2 linked regions of the Anolis sagrei genome follow. The protein of the gene in region 1 purifies or fractionates together with the protein of each later gene. This does not show direct contact. Links are inferred from orthologs where the notes say so. Each region holds a gene or a part of one and is shown on either strand. Other genes may lie near its edges.

The links.
Region 2: the proteins of WWP2 (region 1) and POLR2C purify together in Homo sapiens (affinity purification with mass spectrometry; 3 studies listed by BioGRID and IntAct, with this or other methods). This does not show direct contact. The link is inferred for Anolis sagrei from reciprocal best matches to the Homo sapiens genes WWP2 and POLR2C.

What each region holds. Positions count from the first base shown.
Region 1 is NC_090028.1:28,882,267-28,890,090, reverse strand, and holds the start of WWP2 (NEDD4-like E3 ubiquitin-protein ligase WWP2), read right to left. Parts: upstream 3,094-7,824; 5' UTR 3,018-3,093; intron 1-3,017. Other genes in the region: RNA-binding protein NOB1, read left to right, coding at 3,203-3,265, 5,854-5,986, 6,991-7,124. UniProt on the Homo sapiens protein: E3 ubiquitin-protein ligase which accepts ubiquitin from an E2 ubiquitin-conjugating enzyme in the form of a thioester and then directly transfers the ubiquitin to targeted substrates.
Region 2 is NC_090028.1:6,441,019-6,448,494, forward strand, and holds the start of POLR2C (DNA-directed RNA polymerase II subunit RPB3), read left to right. Parts: upstream 1-4,396; 5' UTR 4,397-4,414; coding exon 4,415-4,553; intron 4,554-5,774; coding exon of another isoform or gene 5,775-5,779; coding exon 5,780-5,824; intron 5,825-6,059; coding exon 6,060-6,128; intron 6,129-7,476. UniProt on the Homo sapiens protein: Core component of RNA polymerase II (Pol II), a DNA-dependent RNA polymerase which synthesizes mRNA precursors and many functional non-coding RNAs using the four ribonucleoside triphosphates as substrates.

The DNA.
Region 1 (7,824 bases):
TGCTGCCCAAGGTCACTGCACCTGAGCAAGGACAGGTCAACATGTACATACACACCCAGCTCATTTTGGGGGGTTCACCTGCTTTTTGTTACTCTTCAGCATGTACTGCCACTGAATAAAGAGAACCACAACAGTCAGACCAGTGGGAAAAGGCTTAGCTGGTTCCCTCTAGTTGATGAGTCTCACTGAGGATCTCCATAAAAACCTTCTCTGAAGGTTTTCAAGGACAGGCTAGAGGGCCATCTGTCGGGTTGGACTGGATGATCCTTTGGGTCTCTTCCAACTCTAGGATTCTATTGATCTATGACTTAGAGCAGTGGTTCTCATCCTGTGAGTCCCCAGGTGTTATGGCCTACAACTCCCAAAAATCCCAGCCAGTTTAGCAGCCACTGACTTATAGGGTTGGACTGGATGGCCCTTAGGGTCCCTTCCACATAGCTGAATAAAATCCCACATTATCTGCTTTGAACTAGAATATATGGCAGTGTGGATTCGGATAACCCAGTTCAAAGCAGATATTCTGGTTTATATGGTTGTGTGGAAGAGACCTATGATTTAGAGGGGTAGACTGGATAGTGCTGGGTTCTCTTCCAACTGTAAGATTCTATGACCTCTATATATGTATCTTTCTTTCTGTCTTTTAGTGGATTGGACTGGATAGCCCTCGATTCTCTTCCAACTGTAAGATTCTATCTATTTATTTATTTATTTATTTGCTGCATTTGTTAACCGCCGTTCTCAGCCCTAGGGCGACTCACGGCGGTGTACAACATATAAAAGACAATTTACAATAAGCCATAACGACAAAAAACAATATATCACTAATACACAATTATCTAATTACACTAAAAAATCCGCTCCGTCTTATAGTAGAATCATAACCAATCTCGTAATCCATATTCCGTTCCAGTTGTCATTTCCAGTTACTGTAGCACTCAGTTAAATGCCTTCTCAAATAGCCATGTCTTGAGGCTCTTACGGAAGGACATAAGGGAGGGCGCCTGTCTGATGTCAGCAGGGAGGGTGTTCCACAGCCGGGGGGCCACCACCGAGAAGGCCCTCTCTCTCGTCCCCGCCAGACGTGCCTGTGAAGCAGGCGGGATCGAGAGAAGGGCCTCCCCGGACGATCTCAAGGTCCTCGTGGGCTCATAGGCCGAGATGCGGTCCGAAAGGTATTTTGGGCCGGAACCGTTTAGGGCTTTGTAGGATAACACCAGCACCTTAAATTATCTATCTATCTATGAATGATTGGGTCAGACTGGATGGCCCATTCATTCTATCTATCTATGAATGAAAGTGTCAGACTGGATGGCCCATTCATTCTATCTATCTATCTATCTATCTATGAATGAAAGGGTCAGACTGGATGGACCATTCTATCTATCTATCTATCTTTGAATGAAAGGGTTAGACTGGATGGCCCATTCTATCTATCTATCTATCTATGAATGAAAGGGTCAGACTGGATGGCCCATTCTATCTATCTATCTATCTATCTATGAATGAATGAAAGGGTCAGACTGGATGGCCCATTCTATCTATCTATCTATCTATCTATCAATGAATGAAAGGGTCAGACTGGATGGCCCATTCTATCTATCTATCTATCTATCTATGAATGAAAGGGTCAGACTGGATGGCCCATTTTATCTATCTATCTATCTATCTATCTATGAATGAAAGGGTCAGACTGGATGGCCCATTCTATCTATCTATCTATCAATCAATGAAAGGGTCAGACTGGATGGCCCATTCTATCTATCTATCTATGAATGAAAGGGTCAGACTGGATGGTCCATTCTATCTATCTATCTATCTATGAATGAAAGGGTCAGACTGGATGGTCCATTCTATCTATCTATCTATCTATCTATGAATGAAAGGGTCAGACTGGATGGCCCTTGGGGGTCCCTTCCAACTCCAGCATTAATTATTTATTTATTATTTATTTATTTACCTTACTTATATACCGCTGTTCTCAGCCCGAAGGTGACTCACAGCGGTTCACAACAAATACGAACAGCAAAAATTCAGTGCTACAGTATAAAAACAGTTCACAGCGTAACACATTACATAATTAATAAAGTTACTACAATACCCATTCACTGTCGTCTCGTCATCAAAAACATGTTCCAGATTTGTCATCCATTGTTCCATTCCAGTGTTCATTAACCAATCATTGCACTAATTATTCGAACGCCTGCTCAAACAGCCAGGTCTTCACTTTTTTGCGGAATACCATTAGAGATGGTGCTAATCTAATGTTCATAGGAAGGGCGTTCCACAGCTGAGGAGCCACCACCGAGAAGGCCCTATCTCTCATCCCCGCCAGCCGTGCTTGAGAAGCAGGCGGGATCGAGCGCAGGGCCTCCCCGGAAGATCTCAAAGTCCTGGTGGGTTCATAGGCAAAGATGCGGTCGGATAGGTAGGATTCTATATTTATTTATTTCTCTAAACTATTCTCTTCTTCCATCAGCACCCACTGGATCACTCTCAACATCACTCTGAGTGTGACAGATGAGGCTCATGCTCGTTTGTGTCATCCACAGAGGTCCAGAGGGCCTTTGGGCAGAATCAGAGCCAGGGCTGGAGCAGAAGTGGGCAAGTGATGGCTGGGGTTCTGTCAATAAGCAATGAAAAGGAAAGGGCCTGAGGCCATTAGGAATTATGGGAATTGAAGTCCAAAACACCTGGATAGAGGGCCTAAGTTGGCTCAGGCCTGTGTCAGAGAGAGAAGGAGGCCTTCTAGGTTTGAGGAAGGGTCTTCCTTTCGGACTGCAACTCCCAGAATCCCCCAGTCGCCCCTTCTGGCAACTGCAGCCCGAGAAGGCGCTTTCCCCCTTCATTTCCTTCCTCTGGCGTTCCCCACCGGTCTCCCCTCCAAGTCCCATCCAAGGCCGACCCGCCTCAGCTCCCAACCCCAAGCAAAGCCTGGGACCTTGAGAGGAAGGGGAAGAAGCCTCACAGCAGCCACACAAACCACAACAAGACTAACGGCAACAGGCTGTTCCTCTTACCGGCGGCGGCTGAGCTCCTTCCTCTTCCCACTTCCGCCTCCTGTAAGTCGTGGGTCATGTGACAGGCAGGCGAGGCGTCACATGACCCTCCGCCTTTCTGGGGCAAAGTTCGAGAGAGGCCAAAGCGGACCAATCAGCGGCGCCCTGCGTTTCCCAGGCTGCCTTGCGCGGGAGAGGAGGGCAAGATGGCGCCGGTGGAACACGTTGTGGCCGACGCGGGGGCTTTTCTGAAGGCAGCCCCGCTCCAGGTGGGTCTCACAGGCCTCCAGGTGGGCTCTAAGCTGGGAGGCGTCCAGAGAAGGGCCGCCAAAAGGGCCAGAGGCCTGGAAGTCAGGAATTCCTCTCAGGAAGAGCTGAGGGAGCTGCAGGGAGTGTTTGCCTTGGAGGAGAGAAGGGGGCCCGGCAGCCATGTTTCCTTATTTGGAAGAGGAGAAGGCAAGGCTTGTTCCCTGGGTTCGCAGTTTGCTCGTGACGCCCACATATATTTCTCCATGCCTTCACAAGCAGCCTCAGCTAAGGAATGAATTCCTGGAGCATATAATGGGCTGTATGAGGCTGTATGTGGAGGCCGTGACAGACCTTGTATTTCTAGGTGCAAAGATTACTGCAGATGCAGACTGTGGCCAGGAAATCAGAAGACGCTTACTTCTTGGGAGGAGAGCAATGTCCAGTCTCAGTAAAATAGTAAAGAGTAGAGACATCAGACTGGCCACAAAGATCCGCCTAATCAAAGCCATGGTATTCCCTGTAGTCATCTATGGATGTGAGAGCTGGACCTTAGGGAAGGCTGAGCAAAGGAAGAGAGATGCTTTTGAACTGTGGTGTTGGAGGAAAGTTCTGAGAGTGCCTTGGACTGCGAGAAGATCCAACCAGTCCATCCTCCAGGAAATAAAGCCCAGCTGCTCACTGGAGGGAAGGATACTAGAGACAAAGTTGAAGTTCTTTGGCCACATTATGAGGAGACAGCAAAGCCTAGAGAAGACAATTATGCTGGGGAAAGTGGAAGGCAAAAGGAAGAGGGGCCGACCAAGGGCAAGATGGATGGATGGCATCCTTGAAGTGACTGGACTGACCTTGAAGGAGCTGGGGGTGGTGACGGCCGACAGGGAGCTCTGGCATGGGCTGGTCCATGAGGTCACGAAGAGTCGGAGACGACTGAATGAATGAACAACAACAGCAACATGAGGAAAACATATTGAAATAGGTGTGCTTGCCATCAAGGGTCCTCATCTGGGGATCATAGAATCCTAGAGTTGGAAGAGACCTCATGGGCCATCCAGTCCAACCCAATTCTGCCAAAAAGCAGGAAAATTGCATTCAAAGCACCTCTGACAGTTGGCCATCTATCCTCTGCTTAAAAGCTTTCAAAGAAGGAGCCTCCACCACACTCCAGGGCAGAGAGTTCCACTGCTGAACAGCTCTCACAGTCAGGAAGTTCTTCCTCATGTTCAGATGGAATCGCCTTTCTTGTAGTTTGAAGCCATTGTTCCACGTCCTAGTCTCCAGGGCAGCAGAAAACAAGTTTGCTCCCTCTTCCCTATGACTTCCCTATGACTTCCTCTCAGATACTTGATGCATGACTATCATGTCTCCTCTCAGCCCTCTCTTCTTCAGCTCTTTAAGCTGCTCCTCATAGGGCTTGTTCCCCAGACCCTTGATCATTTTAGGCACCCTCCTCTGGACACATTCCAGCTTTTCAATATCTCTCTTCAATTGTGGTGCCCAGAATTGGACACAATATTCCAGGTGTGATCTAACCAAGGCAGAATAGAGGGGGAGCATGACTTCCCTAGATCTAGACACTATACTGCTATTGATGCAGGCCAAAATCCCATTGGGTTCAGGTTACCTAAAGGATTGCCTTCTCCCATACAATCCGTCCCACTTACTTTGTTCCTCTGGGAGGTGGTAGCTCCACTAGCCAAAACCTGACTGGAATAACCTGCCAGTAGAGCCCTGACAGCTGGATCAGCTGTCGGAATTAAAGATACAAATGAAGAACTATCTCTTCCAGCAGGCCTACCCAGTTTTAATTGTGAATTTTAAATTCTACTGAATTCTTGGTTTTTGTTTTGTGTGTTTTAAAACATATTTTATAGAGGTATGTTATTTTATATAATGTTTTAAAATTATTATATGCTTGTTTATGTTTTAGTAATCCTGTAACCCACCTTGAGCCAAATTAAAACTATTTTACTGACATATTATTATTATTATTATTATTATTACTATTATTCAAACTGCAAGGAAAGAGATTCCATTGAAACCTAAAGATGAACTTTCTGATGTTTAGAACCATTCAATGGCAGCATACCGACTGCCTGGGAGTCCAGTGGAGTCTCCTTCCTTTGCTGGAGGTTTTGACTTAGGGGCTGCGGAAGTGCTTTGATTGTGTCTTCCAGGCTAGCAAAAAGAAGGGGTTGGATGACCTTTGAGGATTCCTTCCAGCTTTAGGGTTCTGTGATTCTACCATGAGCTGAGTGTGAGCCAATGCTGGGATTCAGCAGCAGATAAAGCCCAATCGTGGCACAAGAACTGGGTGGCCCTTTTGGGGACCCCTCCCCATAGGATACAGACTGTCGGGGAGCCTGGCTGAGTCTTTTTCCTTCTCCTGGGGGCTTTAAACAGAGGCTGGATGTCCATCTCTCAGGGGGCTTGGATCGTGCCTCCCTGCCTAGCAGAAAGAAGGGAGTTGATGGTCTTTGGTGATCCTTTCCACTTCTAGTGGGACATTATAGACCACTTGGGAATCCTAAAGAGTTTGCTTTTCTGGGATGTTTTTGGGTGGAGCCTTCCTCGGCGGTACCCCCCTAACCCTTTCCCTCTCTCTGTGCAGGACATCGGCCAAAACGTCTACACTGTGCGGGAGGTGGTGGCTGAGATTCGGGACAAGGAGACCAAGCGTCGCCTGGCAGTCCTTCCTTATCAGCTCAACTTCAAACAGCCCTTCCCTGAATACATCCGCCTGGGTAAGCCCCACTTGCAGACCTACTGCTTTTGCTCCCAGATTGCCATCCATCTTGAAGGATGTTTGGAATACAAGACTTATGCAGTGGAACCTTGGCTTAAGAGTGTCCCAAGTTGAGAACATTTTGAGTTAAGAACTGTCAATTGAGTTGAGAGCATATTGAGTTAAGAACTGTCAATTGGCCTGTGTTTGCTTTGACATACAAGCAGCATTTTGAGTTAAGAGCCAGCACCAGAGGAAGTGCTAACGCAAGAGTTCAGGGCTTTAGGGCTTCAAGGGAGCAACCTTCTTGCTCTGTCTGTCTGCTTTGGGAGATTGCTATCCGCTTTGCTCTTGTCCACTTTGAGGAACTTTGGGTTTGTTGATTTTGTGTGTTTTTAATAAATTTTAATTCCTGATCTGTTTGGCTTCATAAAGAGTGAGAGGGAGGGAAGGTGGGTGGAATGAGGAGGAAGAAGAAAAGGATGCTTCTGCCTCTTTACTTGGTGCTTTGGCTTCTTTGCCACAACTTTGTATTGTCATGGAACGAATTAGACTCTTAAATCAAGGTATCGATGCATAAAGGTACAGGGATTGCATCCCAAATCCTCTGGAGGCCGCTTATTTGGACTCTTGGCAAACAGGTGGCCTCTAGAGCCTCAGTCATTCAGAAATCTTGCTCATTTGGGGCAGCCATAACTTCCTTATATAAGATACTAGTCTCTAAAAGTTCCTTTTTGGCCTTGGCAAGTTCTGTATGCTGCATTTTCTGCTACCTTGGTTTTATTGGGCACAACTTTGGTCATGTGTTTTCTGTTACACAAGCCTCCGCATTGACTGTAGCTCAAGTCATAAATATTTATTTTGATAATTCCCAAAGAGAGAGATAGGGCCATATCCCTGAGCAAGCATCGTTAGCCTCTTCTCTTCTTCCTTGGCCTTTTGGCTGGAAAGCATGGGACTATCAAACTACTGCTCTGTATATGGATTCAATGACGGAATGCCATTTTCTCTCCCTTTCTTTAGTGACCGAGTTTTCCAAGAAGACGGGTGACTATCCCAGCCTTTCGGCTACAGACTTAAAGGTTCTGGCTTTGACTTACCAGCTGGAAGCTGAGAATGTTGGTATTGTTCACCTGAAGACGGAACCTGAGCAGAAGGTGGGAGAAGCAGACGCTTTCATATCTATGCTTGCCTCCTCAGTGTGCAAAATGCACATTTATACTCCAATTAACCTGTTTTTTAGATGACCCCCCAAAAGTATTTTTACTTTTCTTGCAAATGATAATATTATATGTATTTTGATAGTGTTGTGTTTTAACTGTGTTGTATTCTGCCTTGAGCTGCAAGGAGAGGCAGAGTATTCTTATTATTATAATTATAAATGAAACATACTGAATATCAGGGTACATCTCTTTGGTTTGCCAGTGACCTTTGAAAACGGATGGGTATGTTTTGTGGTGTGAGCTGGGGAAGGCATTTAATTTCATTGTGCAACAACACAATGAAAATAAAACTTTTCTATTCTATTTTGAAAGGAAGCTAGGACCAGGGATTTCATTGATTTGTCCTGCCCAAAAGGCCTCCTGACATGATACCTTTTATAAATGATTTTGAGGGGAATAAATAGATGGGTATCGTGGAGTAATAAATATTATTATCCTTATTATTATAGATGAAAAATCCAAAGGAACCTAGAACCAGGGATTCCAATGATGAGATGCTCTATGTGGCCTTGCACAAATGTCTACCTTTTATAAATGACTTTAAGGCAATGGTTCTCAACCTGGGGGTTGCGACTCCAGAGGGGTCGATGGGCTGTTTCAGAGGAGTCGCGTCACCTCCTCCTTCGGCCCCACC
Region 2 (7,476 bases), about 22 Mb from region 1:
ACACACAACAGATATAGACAAACAGTGAGAAGCTATTTAACTTTTCTGGCCACCAGGGGAGCTGTCGCTTTCATCGTTTATCTGCAACACTGATGAAGTACTTCCACATTCCCCGCATGCTTTTGCTGGAGTCTTTTTTATGACCTCGTAAATTTTGTTAAATTAGGCTCCCCACACATAGATGGTACCTAATTTTCCTACTTGACAGATGCAACTGTCTTTCGGATTGCAAAGGTCAACAACAAGCTACACAATTGGTCAGAAGCTCACTCCGACCCGGGTTGGCTTCGAACTCATGACCTTGTGGCCAGAAGTGATCTTAATGCAGCTGACACTCAGACAGCTGTGCCACAGTCCCGGTGCTTAGAATTCCTTATTTAAAAACAAAGCTGTTGGCGCACCAAAGCTTCAGCAATTGAAAACAAAACCTTGGGGCGGATCAATGCTGTAGAATGAATCCACATTAACTGCCCTGGCTCAATGCTATGGAATCCCGAGGGCTGTAGCTCTGCAATGCCTCAAGCCTTCTCTGATTGAAGCAAATACGGTATATATTTACTCACAAAATGCCCCTATAGCCATAAGCAGTCTAGTAATAATAATGCAGGGAGTACACATACACAGGCCACCTATTCCTGAATAATGATCTCTAAGATAATGAGAAAGAGGTTTTCAGCAATAGCAGATTACAGCTGCAATATCCATAGATAGTTTGTTTATATCTCAAATCTAATCTCTGCTTAAAAGCTTCTAAAAAGGAGGCTCCACCACACTCTGGGACAGAGAGTTCCACTGCTGAACAGCTCTCATAGTCAGGAAGCTCTTCCTAACGTTCAGGTGGAATCTCCTTTCATGTAGTTTGAAGCCATTGCTCCATTGTGTCCCAGTCTCCAGGGAAGCAGAAAACAAGCTTGCTCCCTCCTTCCTATGACTTCCGCTCACATATTTATACATGGCTATCATGTCTCCTCTCAGCCTTCATTTCTTCAGGTTAAACATGCCCAGCTCTTTAAGCCACTCCTCACAGGGCTTGTTCTCCGGACACTTGATTATTTGAGTTGCCCTCCTCTGGACACATTCCAGCTTAGAGTCAACATCTCCCTTCAATTGTGGTGCCCAGAATTGGAAACAGTGTGAGTCCAAGTGTGGTCTGACCAAGGCAGAATAGAATAGAGGGGGAGCATGACTTCCTTGGATCAAGGCACTAGATCCAAGCTTAGGAAGGAACCCACCTTAAAAACTTTCAAGAGGGATCTCAAAACCTGGCTTTTGGAGAGTAGCCATACTATCATACACAGTTGCTCCCCCTCAACAGTTTTTGTCCTCAGAGTATATTTCCTCACCTGTATGAAAGTATATTTTATGACCCATTTTAATGAGTTTCTCCCTCACAAACAATCTGCTCCTTTGCTGTTTTGCTGTTGTAATTTTAGAGTTTTACACAGAGAAGCCATTGAAATCCACAAGCATGTGGACAATTTCAACAGAAAGGAAGAGACCATGAAAATGAACAAAATCTGGCTACCAGTATTAAAAAACTCAAAAATTACTACAGCAAAACAGCAGAGAGGAAACAACCAGGCACATCTTAACACCTCTCAACAAAAGATTCCCCCAGGCTCAGCCAGGCCTTCAAATGCTACTGAAGGTGGTCAGTTGAAACATTCACACCTAGCTCCAGCAGAGAAAAGCTCTTTGCCCCACCCCAGCCCGTCCACAGATATATAAACCCATGGTCCTAATTCCAACAGACCTCACTACCTCTGAGGATGCTTGCCGTAGATGCAGGCGAAACGTCAGGAGAAAATGCCTCTAGAACATGGCCCTATAGCCCGAAAAAACCCACAAGAACCTAGTGATTCCAGCCATGAAAGCCTTCGACAATAGTATTAAAAAAACTCTAAAATTACAACAGCAAAACAGCAGAGAGGAAACAACCAGGCACATCTTAACACCTCTCAACAAAAGATTCCCCCAGGCTCAGCCAGGCCTTCAAATGCTAATGAAGGTGGTCATTTGAAACATTCACACCTAGCTCCAGCAGACAAGAGTTCTTTGTCTCACCCTGGTCATTCCACAGATATATAAACCCTTTTTCCTAGTTCTAACAGACCTCAGTACCTCTGAGGATGCTTGCCATAGATGCAGGCGAAACGTCAGGAGAGAATGCTTCTAGAACATGGCCATATAGCCCGAAAAAAACCACAAGAACCTAATTTTGATTATACTTGCTCCAGAGGGGCATAGTTTGAGAAGGGCTCCATACATCATTTGTGCTATGGATTTTGCCTCAAAGAGCTTAAACGCTGCTTGTATGTAGGGGTAGTATGTAGGGGTAGCATAATATCACAAAGGACGACCACCTCACCAGCCTCATAGGAAACCTGCTACAAAACAGGAGCTTCTTTGTTGAGTTCCAGGGTCAGAGAAGCAGATGGCGGAAACAGAAGAACGGACTGCCTCAGGGGAGCGTGCTTGCTCCATCCATGTTCAACATCTACACAAATGACCAGCCACTGCCAGAAGGGACAGAGAGTTTCATCTACGCTGATGATCGTGCCATTACTGCTCAAGCAGGGAGCTTTGAGATGGTTGAACAGATACTCTCTGAAGCTCTAGGTGCTCTTACTGCCTATTACAAGGAAAACCAACTGATCCCCAACCCATCTAAAACACAGACATGTGCCTTTCATCTCAAGAACAGACAAGCATCCCGAGCTCTGAAGATCACCTGGGAAGGAATCCCACTGGAGCATTGCAGCGTACCCAAATATCTGGGAGTCACTTTGGACCATGCTCTTACCTACAAGAAGCACTGCCTGAACATCAAGCAAAAAGTGGGTGCTAGAAACAATATCATACGAAAGCTGACTGGCACAACCTGGGGATCACAACCAGATACAGTGAAGACATCTGCCCTTGCGCTGTGCTACTCTGCTGCTGAGTATGCATGCCCAGTGTGGAACACATCTCACCACACTAAAGCAGTGGATGTGGCTCTTAATGAGACATGCCGCATTATCACAGGGTGCCTGCGCCCTACACTACTGGAGAAATTACACTGTCTAGCCGGTATTGCACCACCTGACATCCGCCGGGAAGTAGCAGCCAATAGTGAAAGGACCAAGGCAGACATCTCCAGCCCATCCCCTGTTTGGGTATCAGCCAGCACGTCAACGACTTAAATCTAGAAATAGTTTTCTAAGATCTACAGAGACACTCACTGGAACACCTCAGCAAGCGAGAGTCCAAAAATGGCAGTCCCAAACCCAGAACCTCAACCAATGGCTGATACCAGATGAGAGACTTCCCCCTGGGCACACAGAAGACTGGGCGACTTGGAAGGTGCTGAACAGACTGAGCTCTGGCACCACGAGATGCAGAGCCAACCTTCAGAAATGGGGCTACAAAGTGGAATCCACGACATGCGAGTGTGGAGAGAAGCAAACCACTGAACACCTGCTGCAATGCAACCTGAGCCTGGGAAAATCCCCTGTTGAGAGGTGTTAAGATGTGCCTGGTTGTTTCCTCTCTGCTGTTTTGCTGTTGTAATTTTAGAGTTTTACACAGAGAAGCCATTGAAATCCACAAGCATGTGGACAATTTCAACAGAAAGGAAGAGACGATGAAAATGAACAAAATCTGGCTACCAGTATTAAAAAACTCTAAAATTACAACAGCAAAACAGCAGAGAGGAAACAACCAGGCACATCTTAACACCTGTCAACAAAAGATTTTCCCAGGCTCAGCCAGGCCTTCAAATGCTAATGAAGGTGGTCATTTGAAACATTCACACCTAGCTCCAGCAGAAAAGAGCTCTTTGCCCCACCCAAGCCATTCCACAGATATATAAACCCATTGTCCTAATTCCAACAGACTTCACTACCTCTGAGGAGGCTTGCCATAGATGCAGGCGAAACGTCAGGAGAAAATGCCTCTAGAACATGGCTCTATAGCCCGAAAAAAACCACAAGAACCTAGTGATTCCAGCCATGAAAGCCTTCGACAATACCTATAAGCACTGTTATCCCGCTTTGGCTGCCATGGCAACATGCGAGAGGGCAATGAGGCCGGCAATAGGGGCCTCTCAGGCATTCCAAGGCCTCGCCACACCACAAAACCCCTCAAAACGTTGCCAAGGTATAATATTATAGCCGGGCTATAGTAAAGCAGTGTGACAAGGCTCTCGAGAGGAAGAGAGAGAGAGAAGGGAGCCTGGAATGGGAGAAGAACCGCCTTCCAGTCAGCGAGGGCCTACCTTGCTTGCTTCCTCCCTGTTTCGCCGCCGACCGCCGCCTGGAAATGACGTCGGCGCCGCTCTGCTCCCCGATTGGCGGAGAGCGCGGCCGGCGTCTCCCAGCAGCCCCCGCGGCTCTCGGCGTCCGCGCCAATCCCGGCCTCGTTCCTGCTGCGCATGCGCCGTGGTGTTTCAGGCTCTTGCGGCCTTGTTTGGGTCTCCCGCCAGCCATGCCTTACGCCAACCAGCCCACCGTCCGCATCACGGAGCTCAGCGACGAGAACGTCAAGTTCATCGTGGAGAACACGGACTTGGCGTGAGCGGGGGCTTGTGTGGAGGAGGGGCAGGGCCTAGTCTGGAGAGGGAAGCCGGGGCCTAGAGTGCTTCTGCTGCCCCACTCAGGCACGGAGGCGTCTCAGGCCACCTCCTGGGCTTGGGAAATAGTCCCATATTATTATTATTATTATCCCCTACAAAATGTTTAGACAAAATTTTTAAGACTAACAGATTTATTTATTTATAGCTGTCTCCTGCCACGCGTTGCTGTGGCCCTCCTGTATATATATGTATTTGTGTGTATATATGTGTGTATATATGTGTTGCATATGTGTGTGTGTGTGCCTATGTGTAAGGTAAAGGTAGTCCCCTGACATTGTTGTTGTTGTTCATTCGTTCAGTCGTCTCCGACTCTTCGTGACCTCATGGACCAGCCTACGCCGGAGCTCCCTGTCGGCCGTTACCACCCCCAGCTCCCTCAAGGTCAGTCCAGTCACTTCAAGGATGCCATCCCCTGACATTAAGTCCAGTCATGTCTGACTCTGGGGTGTGGTGCTCATCTCCATTTCTAAGCCGAAGAGCCGGCATTGTCCGTAGACACCTCCAAGGTCATGTGGCCGGCATGACTGCATGGAGCGCCGTTACCTTCCCGTCGGAGCGGTACCTATTGATCTACTCACATTTGCATGTTTTCGAACTGCTAAGTTGGCAGAATCTAGGGCTGACAGCGGAAGCTCATGCCGCTCCCCGGAATCGAAACTGCGACCTTTCGATCAACAAGCTCAGCAGCTCAGTGCTTTAACCCACTGCGCCACCGTTGTGTATATGTGTGTGTATATGTGTGTGCTTGTCTATATGCATATTTGTTTCTATATGTGTGTGTATGTGTGCATGTGTATATTTGTGCATGTATATATGTGTGTGTATGCAGATGTATGTGTGTTTATAGTTGTGTGTGCTTGGGTATATTTTTATATGTGTGTTTATGAGTTTATGAGTATATGAGTGTGTGTGTATGGTGCATTTTGGGGTTTTTAAGTCTGTTCTGCTAGGGGGGGCTGTATTTTTAGTGGTGATGAACACTCGTTGGACTGTTAGGTGTATTGTGTCAAAAATTCGTGTCAATTCGTCCAGGCCGCCCCTGCCACACGTTGCTGTGGCCCACTCTGGTGGTCATGGGGGTTCTGTGTTGGAGGATATAAATACATATAATACTGCTAATAATAATAACAATGAATATTTCTCTGTTTTTCTTTTCCAGAGTAGCTAATTCCATCAGGAGAGTGTTCATTGCTGAAGTTCCCACCATCGGTATTTATCTATTCTTTATTGTTTATCTATTAATTTATTTTATTTTAAACATTTATATTCCACCCTTCTCATCCCGAAGTGGACTCAGCATATATACGGCAAACATTCAATGTTGGGACTCAAATTCTTATATGTATACATAAACAGTATGTTAAAGTCCAATACTACGAATTGAAGACTTTGAGCATGATTAATCAAATTGCTATTATCTCATTTTGTACTATTTTGTTTGCAGCCATAGACTGGGTACAGATAGATGCCAACTCCTCGGTCCTCCATGATGAGTTCATTGCACATAGGTTGGGTGAGTAACCGGCATAGGACACGATAGGAAAACACAGGCTTCTCTAGTTTTGTTTTTAAAACAATATTTTATTATGTGCGTAATTCACATAAAATACATTCCAATGCTTTGATGCCGAGCCTCTTTCTAACTCTGGATTTTTCATAAAATAGTGTAATGCCCAACACATTTAATTTTTCAGATTGTACTAGCATTCAACATTATTAATTACATTTTTAGTAATATCCCCAAGTTTTTCCTCTCCTGCTATATTTTTCTTATGTTATATGCCCTTTGGGAATTCTGGATCCTGTTTATTTATTTGTCGTGTCAGAGCAACCAGTCCATTATATTACATTTCTAACAGAACAAAGCAAACAAACAGACAAATACAAAACTTGTGAGTTTGGTAGTTGGTTAAATGTCCTTTGATGGGTATCTGGCCACTTGGAGTGCCTCAGGTGTTGCTACAAGGAGGTCCTCCCTGGTGCATGTGGCAGGGCTCAGGTTGCATTGCAGCAGGTGGTCAGTGGTTTGCTCCTCTCCACACTCGCATGTTGAGGATTCCACTTTGTAGCCCCATTTCTCAAGGTTGGCTCTGCATCTCGTGGTGCCAGAGCGCAGTCTGTTCAATGCCTTCCAAGTCGCCCAGTCTTCTGTGTGCCCAGGGGGGAGTCTCTCCTTTGGTATCAGCCATTGGTTGAGGTGCTGGGTTTGAGCCTACCACTTTTGGACTCTTGCTTGCTGAGGTGTTCCAGCGAGTGTCTCTGTAGATCTTAGAAAACTATTTCTAGATTTAAGTCGTTGACGTGCTGGCTGATACCCAAGCAGGGGATGAGCTGGAGATGTCTCTGCCTTGGTCCTTCCACTATTGGCTGCTACTTCCCGACGGATGTCAGGTGGTGCAATACCGGCTAAGCAGTGTAATTTCTCCAGTGGTGTAGGGCGCAGACACACCGTGATAATGCGGCATGTCTCATTACAAGCCACATCCATTGTTTTAGTGTGGTGAGATGTGTTCCACACTGGGCATGCATACTCAGCAGCAGAGTAGCACAGCGCAAGGGCAGATGTCTTCACTGTGTCTGGTTGTGATCCCCAGGTTGTGCCAGTCAGCTTTCGTATGATATTGTTTCTGGCACCCACTTTTTGCTTGATATTCAGGCAGTGCTTCTTGTAGGTAAGAGCACGGTCCAGAGTGACTCCCTGGTATTTGGGTGCGTGCGCCTTGCTTTGGGACCAAAGTTCTTGATTTGTTCCATCCGTAGATCATCCAGGCCAGCTGGATCCTGTGAACCATGTGATCTTAATTAATAATAATAATAATAATAATAATAATAATCTATATAAATAAAAATGTAATGTTCGT